4 linked regions of the Macaca fascicularis genome follow. The protein of the gene in region 2 interacts with the protein of the main gene of each other region in a biochemical or structural test. Links are inferred from orthologs where the notes say so. Each region holds a gene or a part of one and is shown on either strand. Other genes may lie near its edges.

Evidence for each region. The genes of interacting proteins can lie anywhere in the genome.
Region 1: the proteins of GABARAPL1 (region 2) and KBTBD7 form a complex in vitro, tested with the Homo sapiens proteins (2 studies listed by BioGRID and IntAct, with this or other methods). The link is inferred for Macaca fascicularis from reciprocal best matches to the Homo sapiens genes GABARAPL1 and KBTBD7.
Region 3: the proteins of GABARAPL1 (region 2) and TBC1D2B form a complex in vitro, tested with the Homo sapiens proteins (2 studies listed by BioGRID and IntAct). The link is inferred for Macaca fascicularis from reciprocal best matches to the Homo sapiens genes GABARAPL1 and TBC1D2B.
Region 4: the proteins of GABARAPL1 (region 2) and KBTBD6 form a complex in vitro, tested with the Homo sapiens proteins (2 studies listed by BioGRID and IntAct, with this or other methods). The link is inferred for Macaca fascicularis from reciprocal best matches to the Homo sapiens genes GABARAPL1 and KBTBD6.

What each region holds. Positions count from the first base shown.
Region 1 is NC_088391.1:20,548,002-20,552,179, forward strand, and holds the start of KBTBD7 (kelch repeat and BTB domain-containing protein 7), read right to left. Parts: upstream 2,801-4,178; 5' UTR 2,489-2,800; coding exon 431-2,488; 3' UTR 1-430. UniProt on the Homo sapiens protein: As part of the CUL3(KBTBD6/7) E3 ubiquitin ligase complex functions as a substrate adapter for the RAC1 guanine exchange factor (GEF) TIAM1, mediating its 'Lys-48' ubiquitination and proteasomal degradation.
Region 2 is NC_088385.1:10,692,672-10,696,864, forward strand, and holds the start of GABARAPL1 (gamma-aminobutyric acid receptor-associated protein-like 1), read right to left. Parts: upstream 2,801-4,193; 5' UTR 2,544-2,800; coding exon 2,454-2,543; intron 1-2,453. UniProt on the Homo sapiens protein: Ubiquitin-like modifier that increases cell-surface expression of kappa-type opioid receptor through facilitating anterograde intracellular trafficking of the receptor. Involved in formation of autophagosomal vacuoles.
Region 3 is NC_088381.1:55,436,483-55,440,719, reverse strand, and holds the start of TBC1D2B (TBC1 domain family member 2B), read left to right. Parts: upstream 1-1,437; 5' UTR 1,438-1,521; coding exon 1,522-1,878; exon of another isoform or gene 1,879-1,954; intron 1,955-4,237. UniProt on the Homo sapiens protein: GTPase-activating protein that plays a role in the early steps of endocytosis.
Region 4 is NC_088391.1:20,478,023-20,482,039, forward strand, and holds the start of KBTBD6 (kelch repeat and BTB domain-containing protein 6), read right to left. Parts: upstream 2,801-4,017; 5' UTR 2,510-2,800; coding exon 482-2,509; 3' UTR 1-481. UniProt on the Homo sapiens protein: As part of the CUL3(KBTBD6/7) E3 ubiquitin ligase complex functions as a substrate adapter for the RAC1 guanine exchange factor (GEF) TIAM1, mediating its 'Lys-48' ubiquitination and proteasomal degradation.

The DNA of each region.
Region 1 (4,178 bases), on a different chromosome or scaffold from region 2:
TTCAAAACTCCACCAACAATTCCTAGTCCAGTTTTCTATTGTACAGATTAAAAAGTTAAATTCCTTGTGGCACTAACCAAAACTTAAAAATTAACAGAAGACTGAATTAATTAAAAAAAAAAAAAGCATACTAACTAATCAAAACAATCCACTGTGCAATGAATATTTGAACAATGAAAAAAACCTACCAAGCATCCCAGTCAATTACATAGTTCTTGCTTCCATATTTTAATTTTGGACTTTCAGGAAGGTATATTATTAAACAGGTCGATTTTGTGGACTGTTTAAACCTTGTAGTATTTCAAAATATTACCCTTTCTAAACCAAATCTGTGGTCCTGGTCAACTTTTTTTTTTTCAAGAAAAAGAAAGGATATGTGTTTAAAATACATTCCGTAGCAGTAGAAACATCTTAGTGTCTCAAAATCTATTTACAAAGAACCCTGCTGATCCTGTGCATTTCGCTGAGGTGCTACTTGCACCCAGACTTCATCATCTGAAAAAGAACTTGAACTTCCTGACTCAGAGTCCAGCTCACTGAATCCATCTAAGTCCCATTCAGTACTAGACTCACTCCGTGCATCATCTTCCTCAGTAATAAAACTCTGACCAGGTTCAAGGCAGGAAGGATAAACACGGGCACAAAGGCAAATAAAGCCAGAGTCAAACTGCAAAAGGCCTAACATAGTACCTATATTAATCCACTGATCTTCCCTAGTATCATACTCATACACTGTTACTCGGTTCTTTTTCCATTGTGGGGTTGTAGAAGTGATGAGAAGCAACTTTCGGTCATGATTGACAATCTGGTAGTTGTGGGTCTCTGAATCCAAAGGAATATTACTAATCCGCCTCCATTCTCCCCTAGCTGGGTTGTAGACCTTCATGACTGGGATGTCACAGATACAATAGATTTCATCATTGAAGACACATGCTTCCTGAAAGTCACTGCGTTTAAGAGAAGCACAGTTCAGCCACATATTGTGGCTAGGATCATAGCAGAGCATGCGCTTACTGTTGACAGCATAAAGATAGTTCTGAACCACTATGAGTTCAAAGGAATAGAAGGAATGAGGGACAGGAGCCACCAATGCCCACTGGTTTCTCTGAACACTGTAGCATTCCACTTCCTTCAACTTAACTCCAGTAGTAGGGTCTCGCCCCCCCAAAATGTAGATGTAGCCATTGAGATATGCCACATCCATGCCCTCACGACACAGCAAGCGATCTGCAAGTTGCTGCCAACTATTCTGAGCTGGTTTATACACCCAGAGGTCTTTCCTTGGCTGGGCAGCTAGATAGATGTCATGGTCTGGGGAGACACAGACAGCTGAGGAGGTAACAGTCTTAGTGTGAGCAAAGCTGGTCAAAGGTGATGGCATTGTGTAAATGTCCCCTGAGTAAGGGTCATAGCAGAGAAAGGGATCTCTCGGGTGTCCAAAGAAGATCACCATCTCCTTGGCACACATACCCAGTCTCTGGGGTGGATTTTCTGCTGCAGATACAAGAGAGTTGCTGCTGCTACTGCTGCTGCTGCTGCTGTTTGGCACTGGCACCAGAGACTTGTACAACAGGTCACCATAGCGCATCTGCAGGGCCCCTTCAATAACGTCCAGGCAGTACTTCTTCACGATGGGCTTGGTCAGCAGCCCTTCTAAGTAGTCCTGATCTTCTTCAGTGAAGTGCATCCAGCGCACGCACTTGAAGACTTCCGCAGCACTGGGACCCCGCTCCTTGGGAGCAGCCTCCAGCCACTGCACAGCTACATGGCATACAGTCCGCTCACTCTCTATGTCCAGACTATCCAAGCGCAGGACAGCCAGCAGCTGGGCCAGGGTCAGATCTGCTAGAGTCTCTTCCCGAATTGAACCCATTCGGCTGAGCTGCTTGAAGTTCTGAGCTATATAGGACTGGGCCTGAGATCGAAGCTTGTGATGGTCGAAGGCGTCTGCAAACTTGAGGATGGCGGTGCAGTTGGTCAGGTCAAGACGTCGGGCTAAGAAGGAGGCACAGGCTTCCCGCACATACTCCAGTTGCAGCATGTCGGAGGCTGCGTACAGGCGCTGCACATTGGCCTCGCTGAGAGAGACACGACCCGTGTAGCAGTAGTCGACCAACACCTCGAAGGACTCGGCGTCCACATCGTGCATGGTCACGCTGGCCTGCTGGCTCTCGTACATGCCACCTGTGAACATGCTCTTGAAGTAGGGACACGCAGCTGCTAGCACGTTGCGATTGCAGGAAAAGAGGCGACCCGTGCCAGGCCCGCTGCCAGGCGTCACCACCTCGATGGTCACATCACACAGCAGCCGCGCGTCGTAGAAAGACTTGAGCTGTGCCAGCAGGGCTGCAGAATGGGCCGTGTCCTTTAATTCCTCTGGACCCGTGAAAAAGGCCGAAACCGAGGGCTTGGAAATCCTCTTGGGCCGCCTCCCACCGCGGGGGCTGGCGAGGCGGCGAGAGCGCGGGGCGTCTTCCCGGGACTGCATGGTGGAGATGGCGACGGGCGCTGATAGCGAGAAAGGCTGCCGGACCCGGCTCTGGCTCCTCCTCAACCTTCCCTCGCTGACGCTAAGACAAGCCGCGTCCTGGAACAGACTGCGGCACGGGCCGCACTTCTGAATTCAGCCTTAGCCCGCGGTGAGGTCTCCCTTTATTGCGTAGACAGTGGCTGACTCACCCTCTCTCACTCCCGCGCCCTTTCTCCGCCTCCGCTCGCCCTCACAGGACCCGCTGGCTTGGAGCCGCGGAAGGCCCCACTGCCGCGCTGGCGATCCCGCTAGGCGCCCAGGAGAACTACCGCTTCCAGGTTGCCTTTCGCGCCCCGAGGCCTGCTGGGGCTCTCGGACGGCCGGGCGGGGACAGAGGGAAAGAAACCGCTTTGCATGTTGGGAGTAGTAGTTTGTGTAATATCGCGAGCTTTCCTTTCGCTGACTGCCCTAACAGTAGAAATTAATTCTGGATATGATGGTGAAGTGACGATGTCTCACTATTGTTGTCCAGGCTGGTCTTGAACTCCTGAGGGCTCAAATTATCCTCCTGCCTCTGCCTCTCAAAGTGCTGGGATTACAGGCGTGAGCCACCGGGCCCTGCCAGTATTTCATAGGGTTTTGTGTGATTGAATGATACGTTACATAGGATACTTAGATACATGTATTTTTTTGGTTAGAAGAACAATAAAGCGTTACCCCGTGCCTAGAATGTAGCCAATAATTGTTAGATTCTCTTTTATAATTTATGATAAATGAGGCACCCACTAATTTGAAACCAAAAAATTTTTAAAATTTTTAAAATTATTTTAAACCGCAAAATTTTACAAAGAACTTAGTTTTTAATTTTTATTCTTTTGAAAGATTTTGAAGGGCATTAACTATTTTCAATGTTAAATGGTACGTATTGGCCTTGTTTAATAAGGATGTCTTAGACGACTAGGTTGAGGTCCTAAAGAACGGTGTTAATAGATGGCCTCAAATATGCAAATCGGGCATATAAAAATAGATTATTTGCTACTCTCACTAACATTTCATCTCTGGGGAGCAGGAATATTTTCATTAAGCTCCAAATATGAGTGTTTTCAAGTCGTCTAATACAGTCTCTTTCACTGCCATTCCACATATCAATTAACAGATTCTGTAATTGCCTTTATTAAGGAGTTTTAGGGAGTATTTAACTCAAAATATTTCAAGAAACAGACTTTGTTCTGTACAAAAGCACGTGATTCTCAGAATTCAGCATTAGTACATGCCCTGACATTCCTTGAATTAACATACAGTATAGCCTATGCTTTACAAAAGTCTTTTATATTTGCATTGATCAACAGTTAAATCATCAAAATCAAGTATTAGAGATTTGAGGCAGGAAAATAGGGTCTGGAGGCAGGGAACATAAGGCCGATTCACACTTTAGCTATAACAAGAAATACCCTCTCCATAGGGTGTATGCCGAGTAAATGAGTTTGTAACTTTAATTCATTCTCTTCGTTTACATAGGGTATACACCAAGTAACCAGTGAATCCTCTAGAGGGTATTTAAACCTCCAGGAATTCTGTAACAGGGCCCTTGAGCCCTGTGCTGGGCCTGCGCCCACACTGGAGTGTACTTTCATTTTCAGTACATCTCTGATTTTGTTGTTTCATTCTTTCCTTGCTTTGTTTATGTGTTTCTTCCAATTCTTTGTCC
Region 2 (4,193 bases):
AAGTGATAAAGCAGACCGCAATACCTGGAGGGAAGGCAGGGGTTTGGAGAGGAAGAAAAGGGGGAGGGGTAATTATTAAAGGATTGGTTTCCCAGAACCAAGGTTAAATTTCCAGGAATCCCAACTCTACTCCTCACTATGGTAGACCCTGGGCTAGATGCTTTGCCTCTTTGGGTCTCAGTTTTCCTCTTTGTAAAATGTGACTAATACTCAATAGACCTATGAATTTTTAAAATAGACAATCTGTTTCTAGCAGTCTTTTTGATATGTTGTGTCTTTGAAGATAATTTCAAGATCCCACCAACCCCTCCTCTCTGAAGGCACAAGCATACCTCTTCTTTTCAACTGTTAGCTCTGAAGAAATATTGGTGGGACTAAACTCTGGTTATGCGAGCAGTCAGGATACGCCACTGCTTGAATAACACCAATGGTCAAGCTGGAATGGGCTTTAGGAACCACTACTCTAACCCTCTTTTCTGTAAACAAGGCACTCTATCTAGCACAGCAAGATTAAAAGTTCTGCCCAAGGATGCAGTGAATTCCCAGAACTAGAACCAAATCAAGGAACCTGCGTCATAACTAGAAAGAAGGTCACAGACTGAGCACCTTGGGAGCAGCTCAGCGCTGGTTAAAACATAACCCTAGGGAAGCTGAAATCTGAGTGACAGTCTTAATGGCTTAAAAATTATCACAGGAGTAAAACATTTAACACCAAACTATGAGCATGAAAAGAACAGAATGCACTGAAATATTCAGAATACACATAAGTATTTATCTATTTCCAATACTTAACAGTGTGAAGTCCACAGCACGTCATTAATTCTGGTTAATAACAACTATATTAGAAACTGAGAAACAGTATGGCACGGAGGTTAAGGTCTCCGAGAGCTCCACAGTCCGTCAGACAGGGTTAGAATTCCGGCTCAAACACAGATCAGCAATGTGAAACCTTTAGGAAGTTACCGCATTTCTTTGTGCTTTGAATACTCCGTCTGTAGAACGGGGATTATAATCGTGTAAGGATTAAGCGAATGATTACAGACTGAGTACTTATACTGCTACTGTAAACTATTAGTAAAATATGACTGTATTTTTTAAATATCATTGCTCTAAAGATTGGTATCACCAGAACTCGGCAAAATTTTCAGGTATCCAAGGTCCAGAAACCAGCAAAGTATTTTGTAAAGGATCCTTTACCGAGTAAGGGATTAGCTCACCCCTCTATAAACTGAAAACCCTTTGGTAATTTCTGAGGAATGGAAGAGCCCTAATGACTTTTTTTTTTTTTTTTTTAAAGGAAAAGGGGTACAAGAGGTTTCTACTGCTGGGCTAAGGCCCTGCTGGCTTCTGGTAGCTATAAAACCACGAACGTTAGGTAAGGATTAGAGAAGAAACCCAGAGTGGCTGCGAATCAAGATAAGACATCAGATAACAGCAATTATTTTACCATGATGTGACATGTAATCCTGATGTTCCTACCTGAAGATAAAGAGCACAATTTTAAAAATCTCTGCTCCTCCATTTCCAAAATCCAACAGCTGCTGGTCCCTTTACCACTTAAAAGTCATACTCTGCCCTCCAATTCGGCTGCGCAGCCCACATTAGAGAAACACCAGGCAAGGGGCGGGGGAGGGGGTAATGGGGAAAACGCCCGGATGGTGAAAGACACCTAATGTTTCTTCTCTGTTCCTACTCACTACCTGCGCTAGTTTTAACTACTTAAGCCGGTGTCCAAAACACAGAAAAAACGTCTCAGTCCTGCCTTATCGCGTGCAGGTGCCAGGTGATCAGAAATCAATACCGGGGGAGGCTGGCTGTCCCCACACATTTCCCGGAGCCTAGAACGATGAGGCATGAGGGCTGTTGCGCAGAGAACGTGACCTTGTTTTTCAGGCCCGGACTGTCTTGTGCTCCCCTACCCCCCTGTAATGCAAGAAAAGAACCGAATAGCTTCTGAACCTTTTCCTCCCAAGCCCAATGATATGACAGCCAAAGTCAACTTCATTAAAGGAGAACCAGCCAAGGCAGAAATCGACCGGGTTTGCGCAAACCTCACCGCACAGCACAGTGTCCCCGCGTTCTTAAAGGGAGCCAATCCACGGCCCTGATCTAACCACTCTCGCACACAGGGGCGCTATTTTGCGCACCTCAACCCACACAGGGTCTCAGTATTGCTGAGACCGTGTGGGTTGCTGAGTCACTGAAGATGGCAGCTCGGCCCCAAAAACACCGTCAGCCCTGAAGTGGGGTTCAGGCCCCAGGCATATGTGGTTTTAAAAGCTCCGCAGTCTGGACGTCCATTGGCTCGGGCACTGAAGGGCGTTCAGGATTAACTAATTATCGGCACCTCCCTTCCCCAGAGTCGCCTGGGCGCCCCAGGGAAGCCATCTCGACTCCCAGCCCCCGCCCCCGCGGGCCCTTCCCCTCCCATCCCCCCGCTCCTCTACACTCACGGGGACCCTGTCCGGATATTTCTTCCGGATCTTTTCTCCTTCCTTTTTCCGATACTCAAAGGGATGGTCCTCCTTGTACTGGAACTTCATGATGCACCGCAGGGCTTCCGAAATTCCCCGCGCGGGGCCTGCCTCCTTCGCCGCTGGCCCTGTCCAGCTCCCTCCGCCGACGTCAAGGTGTGCTCAAATAGCTACAGAAACGTCCGCTCCCGGGGCAACAGCGCTGGGCCGAGCGTGCAGAGGGGGTTCGGTGTGGGGGGGAATCTCGGGTGAGCCTGCCCGGAGATAGAGGAGAGCCAGGTGGAGAAATACCGGCGGCTTTTCGCTGGAGCTGCGAGCACAAAAACAGTTGGGTGGCGCGTCGGGCTGTGACGTCACCCTGCGCGCCCCGCCCCGCCCCCCAGGCGCCGAGGGCAGGGGGCGGCCGAGTGCTGTCTTAACTGCGTTTCCTTTCTGGCTAACGTTTTTCAAAATCGATGTCATTGCAAACATCAAAACATTCTAGTTGTGTTTTATTTTGTGACTGTGAAAGACGGTTTTAAGACAAAAACAATTTTAAACATGTTTTATTCCCCCTCCACTGTTTTTCTTGGTTTGGCCCCAAAACAAATACAAAAGGCGAAAATCCTTTTCCTGCTGGTTGGGATCCAGCCTCAGGGGAAAAGAGGCCCAGGCCTCCTGGGATCCCTTTGGCCAATGCAGAGCTGTCTCGTGCTTGCACCGTGCCCTCTGCGCTTTCCGCTGCCCCTCCCGCGGCCCTCCTCCCGCGCTGGCGTCACAGTGTTTGGGCCGCGCCGCAGTTCGCTCCTGAACAGCAACATAAACAGAGCGTGACTCAGGAATTTGAAGAGAGGAGTCAGATGAAGGACGCGGAGTGTAATCAAGGTCCAAAGGAGACGTGATGTCAGTCAGGACTACGGAGGGCTTCACGTACAATCAAATACAGTAATGATTCACTTTCTAGCCGGACGCGGTGGCTCATGCCTGTAATCCCAGCACTTTGGGAGGCCGAGGCAGGGGGATCACCTGAAGTTAGGAGTTCGAGACCAGCCTGACCAACATGGAGAAACCCCGTCTCTACTAAAAATACAAAATTAGCTGGGCGTGGTGGCCCATGCCTGTAATCCCAGCTACTCTGGAGGCTGAGGCAGGAGAATCGCTCTAACCCGGGAAGCGGAGGTTGCGGTGAGCCAAGATCGCGGCATCGCACTACAGCCTGGGCGACAAGAGCGAAACACCGTCTTAAAGAAAAAGAAAAGAAAGAAAGAAGTGATTCACTTTCTGCCATTAACTCAGAAAGGAGGCTTGTCTTCTGGAAAAGAGAGTATCAAGCAATTTAGGTGATGACCTCAATTCTTCCCCCACATCTTATTTAGTTCCAGTGGTTAGGTATCCCTCACGTGGCTGGAAAGCGCTGCCTGGAATGCCAGTGGAAGATTGGGCATTGCGGCAGGTGCGGCGAAGCCTCGTTCTCGCTTTCCCCACCTAGAGTCAAAGAATAAAGACCTTCCAACCAGTACGGTAGGCAGCGACACGGAGGACCGTGGAGATTGCAAAGAAAAAGAAGAGTGAAAACGGGCTGCGTTGCCCATACAAGCCGGGTGAGTTCTGAGAAATATTAGACAACAGCAGCCCCATGGCCTATCTTCTTCAGTCGGGGTCTCAGTGTCTAATTTTAAAAACACCCACAAGGGGACAGGCGCGGTGGCTCACGTCTGTTCTCCCAGCACCTTGGGAGGC
Region 3 (4,237 bases), on a different chromosome or scaffold from region 2:
ATCTGGGTCTGTGTTCCACGTCACAGGATCAGACCAGCCTCCTTGCCTGTCCTGGGGGAGCAGCCTGCTACCTGCCCCCTCACTTCATCCTCTCACTTTGCTTTTTATTTATTTTATTTTTTATTCTTGTGGGAACATAGTAGGTATTTATGTTTATGGATTACATGAGACATTTTAACACAGGCATGCAAGGCATAATAATCACATCAGGGTAAGTAACATATTCATCACCTCAAGCATTTATCCTTTGTGTTACAAACAATCCAATTATACTTTTTTTTTTCTTTTTAGACAGAGTTTCGCTCTTGTTGCCCAGGCTGGAGTGCAATGGTGTGATATTGGCTCACTGTAACCTCCGCCTCCTGGGTTCAAGAGATTCTCCTGCCTCAGCCTGCCGAGTAGCTGGGATTACAGGCATGGGCCACCATGCCCCGGTAATTTTGTATTTTTAGTAGGGACGGGGTTTCTTCATGTTGGTCACACTGGTCTTAAACTCCCAACCTCAGGTGATGCGCCCACCTCGGCCTCCCAAACTGCTGGGATTACAGGCATGAACCACCGTGCCTGTATTATCCTCTTTTGGTTATTTTTAAATGTACAATTATATTATTTTTGACTATAGTCACCCTGTTTTGCTAGCAAATACTTAGTCTTATTCATTCTTTCTCTTTGCTTTATTACAAAGCAATAGATTTGCCTTCTCAGGTTGTGAGTGTTCAAATAATCTATAAAGCACTGATAAATACTAGGTGCTATTTTAAGTGATAATATTTACATGTCATCACGGCATTTATACAACATAGCACACATTACTTTTATCTGCTTTCTTGTGTATCACCTCCTTGCCTTACTAGAATATAATCTCCACGAGGGCAGGAGAATGATTGGTTTGTTCACTGCTCTATCCGCCAGGGCCTGGCATACAGAACTGTACCTGGCATTCAGAAGGCACTCAATAAATATATGTTGAATTCAATGAATGAACTGAAGTCTGGAGAGGCAGGAAACGCTTTGGCTTTCATGAATTCTGCAAATATTTACTGAGCACCCACTCAGCGCCAGGCAATAGGCTGTCTCATTTTTACAATATTAGCTTGAGACTCTGGCAGGAGGGAGATTTAAAAATCAAGTTTTTAGAAAAAGGTACACAGTGTGAAATGCAGTTTTAAGTGGACACTCCGTTGGGTTTTGAGAGATGCACACTCCCATGTACTTACACTGCCGTAAAGAAATAGACCATTGCTTCACCCCACAGGGCGAGGACTTGGAGCACAGGTAGCACGAAGGCAACTGACTTGCAGGGATGCTGGACGCAGGACCCTGCCTCCGGGGACTGCGGGGGCAACGGCTGGCGGGCGGGCGGGGGCGGGACTACAAGTCCCAGGCTGCTTTGCGCACCCGCGGGCCTTGCGGAGCGATGGGGCGGTGCGGAGGGGTAGGGGGCGCAGCGGCGGTGGCGCGAAGGCGCGGGGAGCGGGCGCGGGCTTGGGCTCGGGCTCCTACCGTTGGCGCGCGGTAGCTATGCCGGGGGCTGGATCCCGGGCGGAGGAGGGCGGTGGCGGCGAGGGCGCGGCTCAGGGGGCGGCCGCGGAGCCCGGGGCGGGTCCCGCGCGGGAGCCAGCGCGGCTGTGCGGCTATCTGCAGAAGCTGTCGGGCAAAGGCCCCCTGCGCGGCTACCGCAGCCGCTGGTTCGTGTTCGACGCGCGCCGCTGTTACCTCTACTATTTCAAGAGTCCGCAGGACGCGCTGCCCCTCGGCCACCTGGACATCGCGGACGCCTGCTTCAGCTACCAGGGCCCCGACGAGGCGGCGGAGCTGGGCGCGGAGCCGCCCGCGCACTTCCAGGTGCACAGCGCGGGAGCCGTCACGGTGCTCAAGGTGGGACCGCGCGCCCCAAAGCCGCCCTTGCGCTTCCGCAGGCGCCCGCTGCCTCGACCACGGGCCTGCGCCATCCACCCTCCTTCCTCCAAGGCCTCCTCGCCCCTGACCACGTCGGCCTGCCTTTCCCTGCGTCTCCACATCCCGCCCTTGTTCCTATCTTCACCCCTCTACCTGGGCTTCGGCCAGTCTGGCTGGGGCTACCCAGCCCCATCTCCTTCCTCAGACACCTTGACCCATTATCCCCTCTGCGCCTAACCTCGGGCCCCTCTCTGGTGTCTCCCGACCCCCACCATCCCGTGGATGTCCCGTGCAGCCTTCCTAGGCCTGTAACCGTAGGCTTCTACCCTCGGGGCCTCCTTTAGAACTCTGCCGGCGGGGCGCTGTGGCTAACGCCTGTAATCCTAGCACTTTGGGAGGCTGAGGCGGGTGGATCACGAGGTCAGGAGATCGAGACCATCCTGGCTAACACGGTGAAACCCCGTCTCTACTGAAAATACAAAAAATTAGCCGGGCATGGTGGCGGGCGCCTGTAGTCCCAGCTACTTGGGCGACTGAGGCGGGAGAATGGCGTGAACCCGGGAGGCGGAGCTTGCAGTGAGCCGAGATGCGCCACTGCACTCCAGCCTGGGGGACAGAGCGACTCTGTCTCAAATGAAAAAAGAAAGAAGACCTCTGCCTATAACCTTGGTACCTCAGTGAACCGCTCTGTGCTGCAGCGGCCTCCTCTGTAAACTGGGATAGCAGTAGTATCTACCTCATGGGGTGTTGGGATTAAATGAATTATAGTCTAAACTGCTCAGTAAATGTTAGTGCTTTTATTTATTTGTTTATTCTTTTTGAGACAGGATCTCGTTCTGTTGTCCAGGCTGGAGTGCAGGGGTGCAATCTTGGCTCATTGCAGCCTCTATGCCTGGGCTCAAGCGATCCTCCCACCTCAGCCTCCCAAGTAGCAGGGACCACAGGCGCAGGCCCCCACGCCTGGCTAATTAATTTTTTTTTTTTTAAAGAAACGGGGTCTTACTATGTTGCCCAGGCTAGTTCCGAACTCCTGGGCTGAAACCATTCTCCCCATCCAGCTTCCCAAAGTGCTAGGATGCCAGGCGTGAGCCAGAGTGCATTCAGCACTGTAGACAGAAAGAGTCAGAGATGGCAGGGCCCTTAGAGACAGTCCACTACATTTCCCTCCAGAGTGGACAGGAATGCTCCAGCTAAGGTGACAACAAGTAGGTGGCAGAGCCTGTTTTCTTGCTCCTTGCTTTGTCCAGGAGAGGTGAGAGGGGGTCGCTTCAGCCAGTTATGACTTGCTCCTTTGAGGCTCCCTTAATCCTCCAGTGAAGAGACACAATGAGAGATACAGTGTAGAGGCAGGAGAGTAGAGTCAGGAGTCCTGGTGCTGAAAGGCCTCCCCTGTCCTTAAGAGTCCTGGGGGACTAGACTGTCACCTCCTAGGAGCCTACCTGCTTTGAGCACCTGGAGGGATCTGGGCCCAGGCCTGGAGCTGGGTATCCTTTCTCCAGGCTTTGCTCCCTGCCTGGTTCCTATGAGTCTCCACCCTCACTCTCTTACGTATTCCCAAGTTGGGCTTTCTCCAGGACAACAGGGTTGGGCTGGGATGTATGAAAGCGCTCTCAAAGTTGGCCACGTGGAGAGCAGAGTAGGCAAGCGCCTGGCCTTATGAGCTGATGACTGTTCCTCAGACCCCAGAGCTGCTAACAGCTGGAGCTGCTCCCTGGAGATGTTCTTAGAGCTTTGTTGACTCAGCTTTTGCCAGCTTAAGCAGGATCTGATTCCCGTGTTCTCTTGGGCTCCCCTGTCCTGTCTGTAAGTGTGTGCAGACAGCCTGTTTCCCCAAAGAAAACCAATTCGGGTTGCAGTCCTACTCAGGCCTACTTAGAGAGTGCCTGTATAATCTTGGGAATGACCCTAGTGGGAGACCTTTGCCAAAGGCAGAGGCTCTTCCTCAGTGTACATACGGGCTGTCCCTGTGTCGTATTAATTTCCTGTGGAATGTTTGTCAAAGAAACTAGAGCATCATGTTTCACATTTTTCCCAGATGACTGTAGAGCCCTCTGTCGGTTTTTTTTCATTAAAATAATCTGAATCTCCTGTAATCCCAGCACTTTGGGAGGCCGAGGTGGGTGGATCACAAGGTCAGGAGATCAAGACCTGGCTAACACAGTGACACCCCAACTCTATTAAATATACAAAAAATTAGCCGGGTGTGGTGGCGGGCGCCTGTAGTCACAGCTACTCGAGAGGCTGAGGCAGGAGAATGGCGTGAACCCATGAGGCGGAGCTTGCAGTGAGCAGAGGTCGCACCACTGCACTCCAGCCTGGGTGACAGAGCGGGCTCCGT
Region 4 (4,017 bases), on a different chromosome or scaffold from region 2:
CCAAATTATGTTTAACTTATAACACATTTTGCAAAGACCCCTTAGGTTAACCATTTTGGAAATCTACATTGTTCCGAAGAAAAAGATAAGCTTTCAAAACACTATCTAGCAATTCCTAATCATTTTTCTATCATAAACATTAAAATTCAAAAGTTACTGCCACAGTGCTTGTGGCAGTAAACAGAATGTAAAATTTATCAAAAGACTAAATTAGTGTCATGAAACATAAACATACTAAATAATCAAATAAATACTGGACCCTTAGCACAGAAAATTATTAAAAGGTTGATCTGAGTGTTAACATTTGTAATATTAAATTACCTTCGTATTTCAAATATTACTTTTTCTAAACCAAACCGGCAGCTAATCAACTTTTCCTTTCCTTTAGGAACAAAAAGGATATTTAAGATATTTTCCAAAACAGTAAAAACAACTTAGTGTTTCAATTCAGTTACAACAAACCCTGCTTATCCTGTGCATTTCACTGAGGCGCTACACGCACCCAAAAATCATCATCAGAAAGAGAACTTGAACTTCCTGACTCAGAGTCTGGCTCACTGAATCCACCTAAGTCCCATTCAGTGCTAGACTCACTTGGTATTTCTTCTTCTTCAGTGAGAAAACTCTGACCAGGTTCAAGGCAGGAAGGATAAACACGAGCAGAGAGGCAAAAAAAGTTAGAATCAAACTGCAAGAGGCCTAATGTGGTACCTATATTAATCCATTGGTCTCCCCTAATATCATATTCATACACAGTCACCCGGTTCTTTTTCCATTGTGGGGTGCGAGAGGTGATGAGCAACAATTTTTGGCCATGCTTGATAATCCGGTAGTTGTTGGTCTCTGAGACCAAGGGAATATTATTCATTTGCCTCCATTCTGCCCTAACTGGGTTGTAGACCTTCATGACTGGGATGTCACAGATACAGTAGATCTCCTCATTGAAGACGCACGCTTCCTGAAAGTCATTGCGCTTCAGAGAAACGCACTTCAACCACATATTATGGCTAGGATCATAACAGAACATGCGCTTACTGTTGAGAGCATAGAGATAGTCCCGAATTACCATTAGGTCAAAGGATAAAAAAGAATGGGGCAGTGGAGCCACCAATGCCCACTGGTTTCTCTTAACATTGTAGCATTCCACTTCCTTCAACTTAACTCCAGTAATAGGGTCTCGCCCCCCCAAAATGTAGATGTAGCCATTGAGATATGCCACATCCATGCCCTCACGACACAGCAAGCGATCTGCAAGTTGCTGCCAACTGTTCTGAGCTGGTTTATACACCCAGAGGTCTGTCCTGGGCTGGGCAGCTAGATAGATGTCATGGTCAGGAGAGATACAGACAGCTAAGGTGGTGACAGTCCTAGTGTGAGCCAGACAGGTCAAAGGTGACGGCACTTTGTAAAGGTCCCCCGAGTATGGATCACAGCAGAGAAAGGGATCTCTGGGGTGTCCAAAGAAGATCACCATCTCCTTGGCACACATACCCAGTCTCTGGGGTGGATTTTCTGCTGCAGATACAAGAGAGTTGCTGCTGCTACTGCTGCTGCTGCTGCTGTTTGGCACTGGCACCAGAGACTTGTACAACAGGTCACCATAGCGCATCTGCAGGGCCCCTTCAATAACGTCCAGGCAGTACTTCTTCACGATGGGCTTGGTCAGCAGCCCTTCTAAGTAGTCCTGATCTTCTTCAGTGAAGTGCATCCAGCGCACGCACTTGAAGACTTCCGCAGCACTGGGACCCCGCTCCTTGGGAGCAGCCTCCAGCCACTGCACTGCCACGTGGCACACTGTCTGCTCACTCTCCACGTCCAGACTATCCAAGCGCAGGACAGCCAGCAGCTGGGCCAGGGTCAGATCTGCTAGAGTCTCCTCCCGAATTGAACCCATGTGGCTGAGCTGCTTGAAGTTCTGAGCTATATAGGACTGGGCCTGGGATCGCAGCTTGCGATGGCCAAAGGCGTCTGCAAACTTGAGGATGGCGGTGCAGTTGGTCAGGTCAAGACGTCGGGCTAAGAAGGAGGCACAGGCTTCCCGCACATACTCCAGTTGCAGCATGTCGGAGGCCGCGTACAGGCGCTCCACGTTGGCCTCGCTGAGAGACACACGACCCGTGTAGCAGTAGTCGACCAACACCTCGAAGGACTCAGCGTCCACATCGTGCATGGTCACGCTAGTCTGCTGGCTCTCGTACATGCCACCTGTGAACATGCTCTTGAAGTAGGGACACGCGGCGGCCAGCACATTGCGGTTGCAGGGGAAGAGGCGACCCGTGCCAGGCCCGCTGCCAGGCGTCACCACCTCGATGGTCACATCACACAGCTGCCGCGCATCGTAGAAGGACTTGAGCTGTGCCAGCAGGGCTGCAGAATGGGCCGTGTCCTTTAATTCCTCTGGACCCGTGAAAAAGGCCGAAACCGTGGGTTTGTGAATCTTCTTGGGCCGCTTCCCACCACGGGGACTGGCGAGGCGGCGAGAGCGCGGGGCGTCTTCCCGGGACTGCATGGTGGAGATGGCGACGGGCGCTGATGGCGAGAAAGGCTGCAGGACCCGGCTCTGGCTCCTCCTCAACCTTCCCTCGCTGACGCTAAGATAGCAGCGTCTCCCAAGAGACCGCAGCACGAGCCCATTTACTGAATTCAGCCCTACCCTGCGGAGCCGCCTCCCTTTATCGTTTAGACAGTAGCTGACTCACCCTCTCTCACTCCCGCGTCCTTTCTCCGCGTCTGCTCGCCTTCACAGGACCCGCTGGCTTGGAGCCGTAGAAGCCGCTACTGCCGCGTGGGCGACAATACTAGGGCCCAGGAGAACTACCGCTCCCAGGTTGCCTTTCGCGCCCCGAAGGCTGCTGGGCCTCTCGGACTCCCAGGCCGATACCGAGGGAAAGAATCCGCTTTGCATGTTGGGAGTAGTAGTTTGTGTAATATCGCGATCCTTCTCTGGTGTTCCTTGTTTTTTAACTGACGACACTCGAGAGCGCCAGTTTTCCTAGATTCGATTTTGTGGTTTGGAACTTTGGTTTTGGAATCCACAGTAGTCGCCTCGTTCTAGTATGTATTGTTCGACTTGTCTCTTTGAATTGTTTCTTCTTTTGTAAAATGTGAACAGTAGTATTTCATAGGATTGTGTGAAGATTAAATGAGTTGGTTATAGGACGCTGTTAATATTTGTTGGTTTGTAGAATAATTACTCAGTTCTTAGAATATAAAGGTTCGACAAGTTTTCTTCTAGCCTTTATATATATAGAAAAAAAAGGAAGCATCACTAATTTGAAATTATGAGCCTGTAGGAAAACAAAAAACAGCCCCCGAAAACAGAAAACCTTGCAAATTGCAGCAGAGATCCCTTTTTAGGGGTGTGTGTGTGTGTGTGTGTGTGTGTGTGTGTGTGTAAATTAGATTTTATTTTTAGGTTTACAGACAAATTGAGCAGCAGGGACAGGGAACTTCCATATATCTCTCCCCACTTCACAGTTCCCTTATTATTATTAACACCTTGTATTAGTGTATGCATCCAGTAGAAGTGAATTTTTTTTATTTTTATTTTTTACTCACTGTGCCTCTCCCTGATACCAAAAATTAACTCAGGGTTTGTAGGATTGGTTGGCTGTTGCTGGAATTAGATCCCTGGTTTTTTCACAATTGCCTGTCCTTACTTGCCATGACTAAAAGGAAACCACCTCCAATCACCTTACTTTGAGACTTTCCTTCCATATCTGCATTTCAAAATCTGAAGTCCTCTCTAGCCACTTTTCCCACTTGGTCTGTCCAATATTCAGTACCCCTTTCCCTTTTTTACATAAAAGAAGAGACATGCTTTAGGGGTCCTCACCCCAAAACACAAGGGAAGCCAGAGGCCTGGTTGGTAATTTAGCATCCTTTTAGACCCAGAGGCTCAAGCATTTCTCCCCTTGCTTGTATGAAGTTGCTGCTCCATCAGAACTGACTTTATTTTTAGTCATTCACTCAACCTTTACTTACCCATGTAGTTCAGACATTAGAAGTCACTGAGAA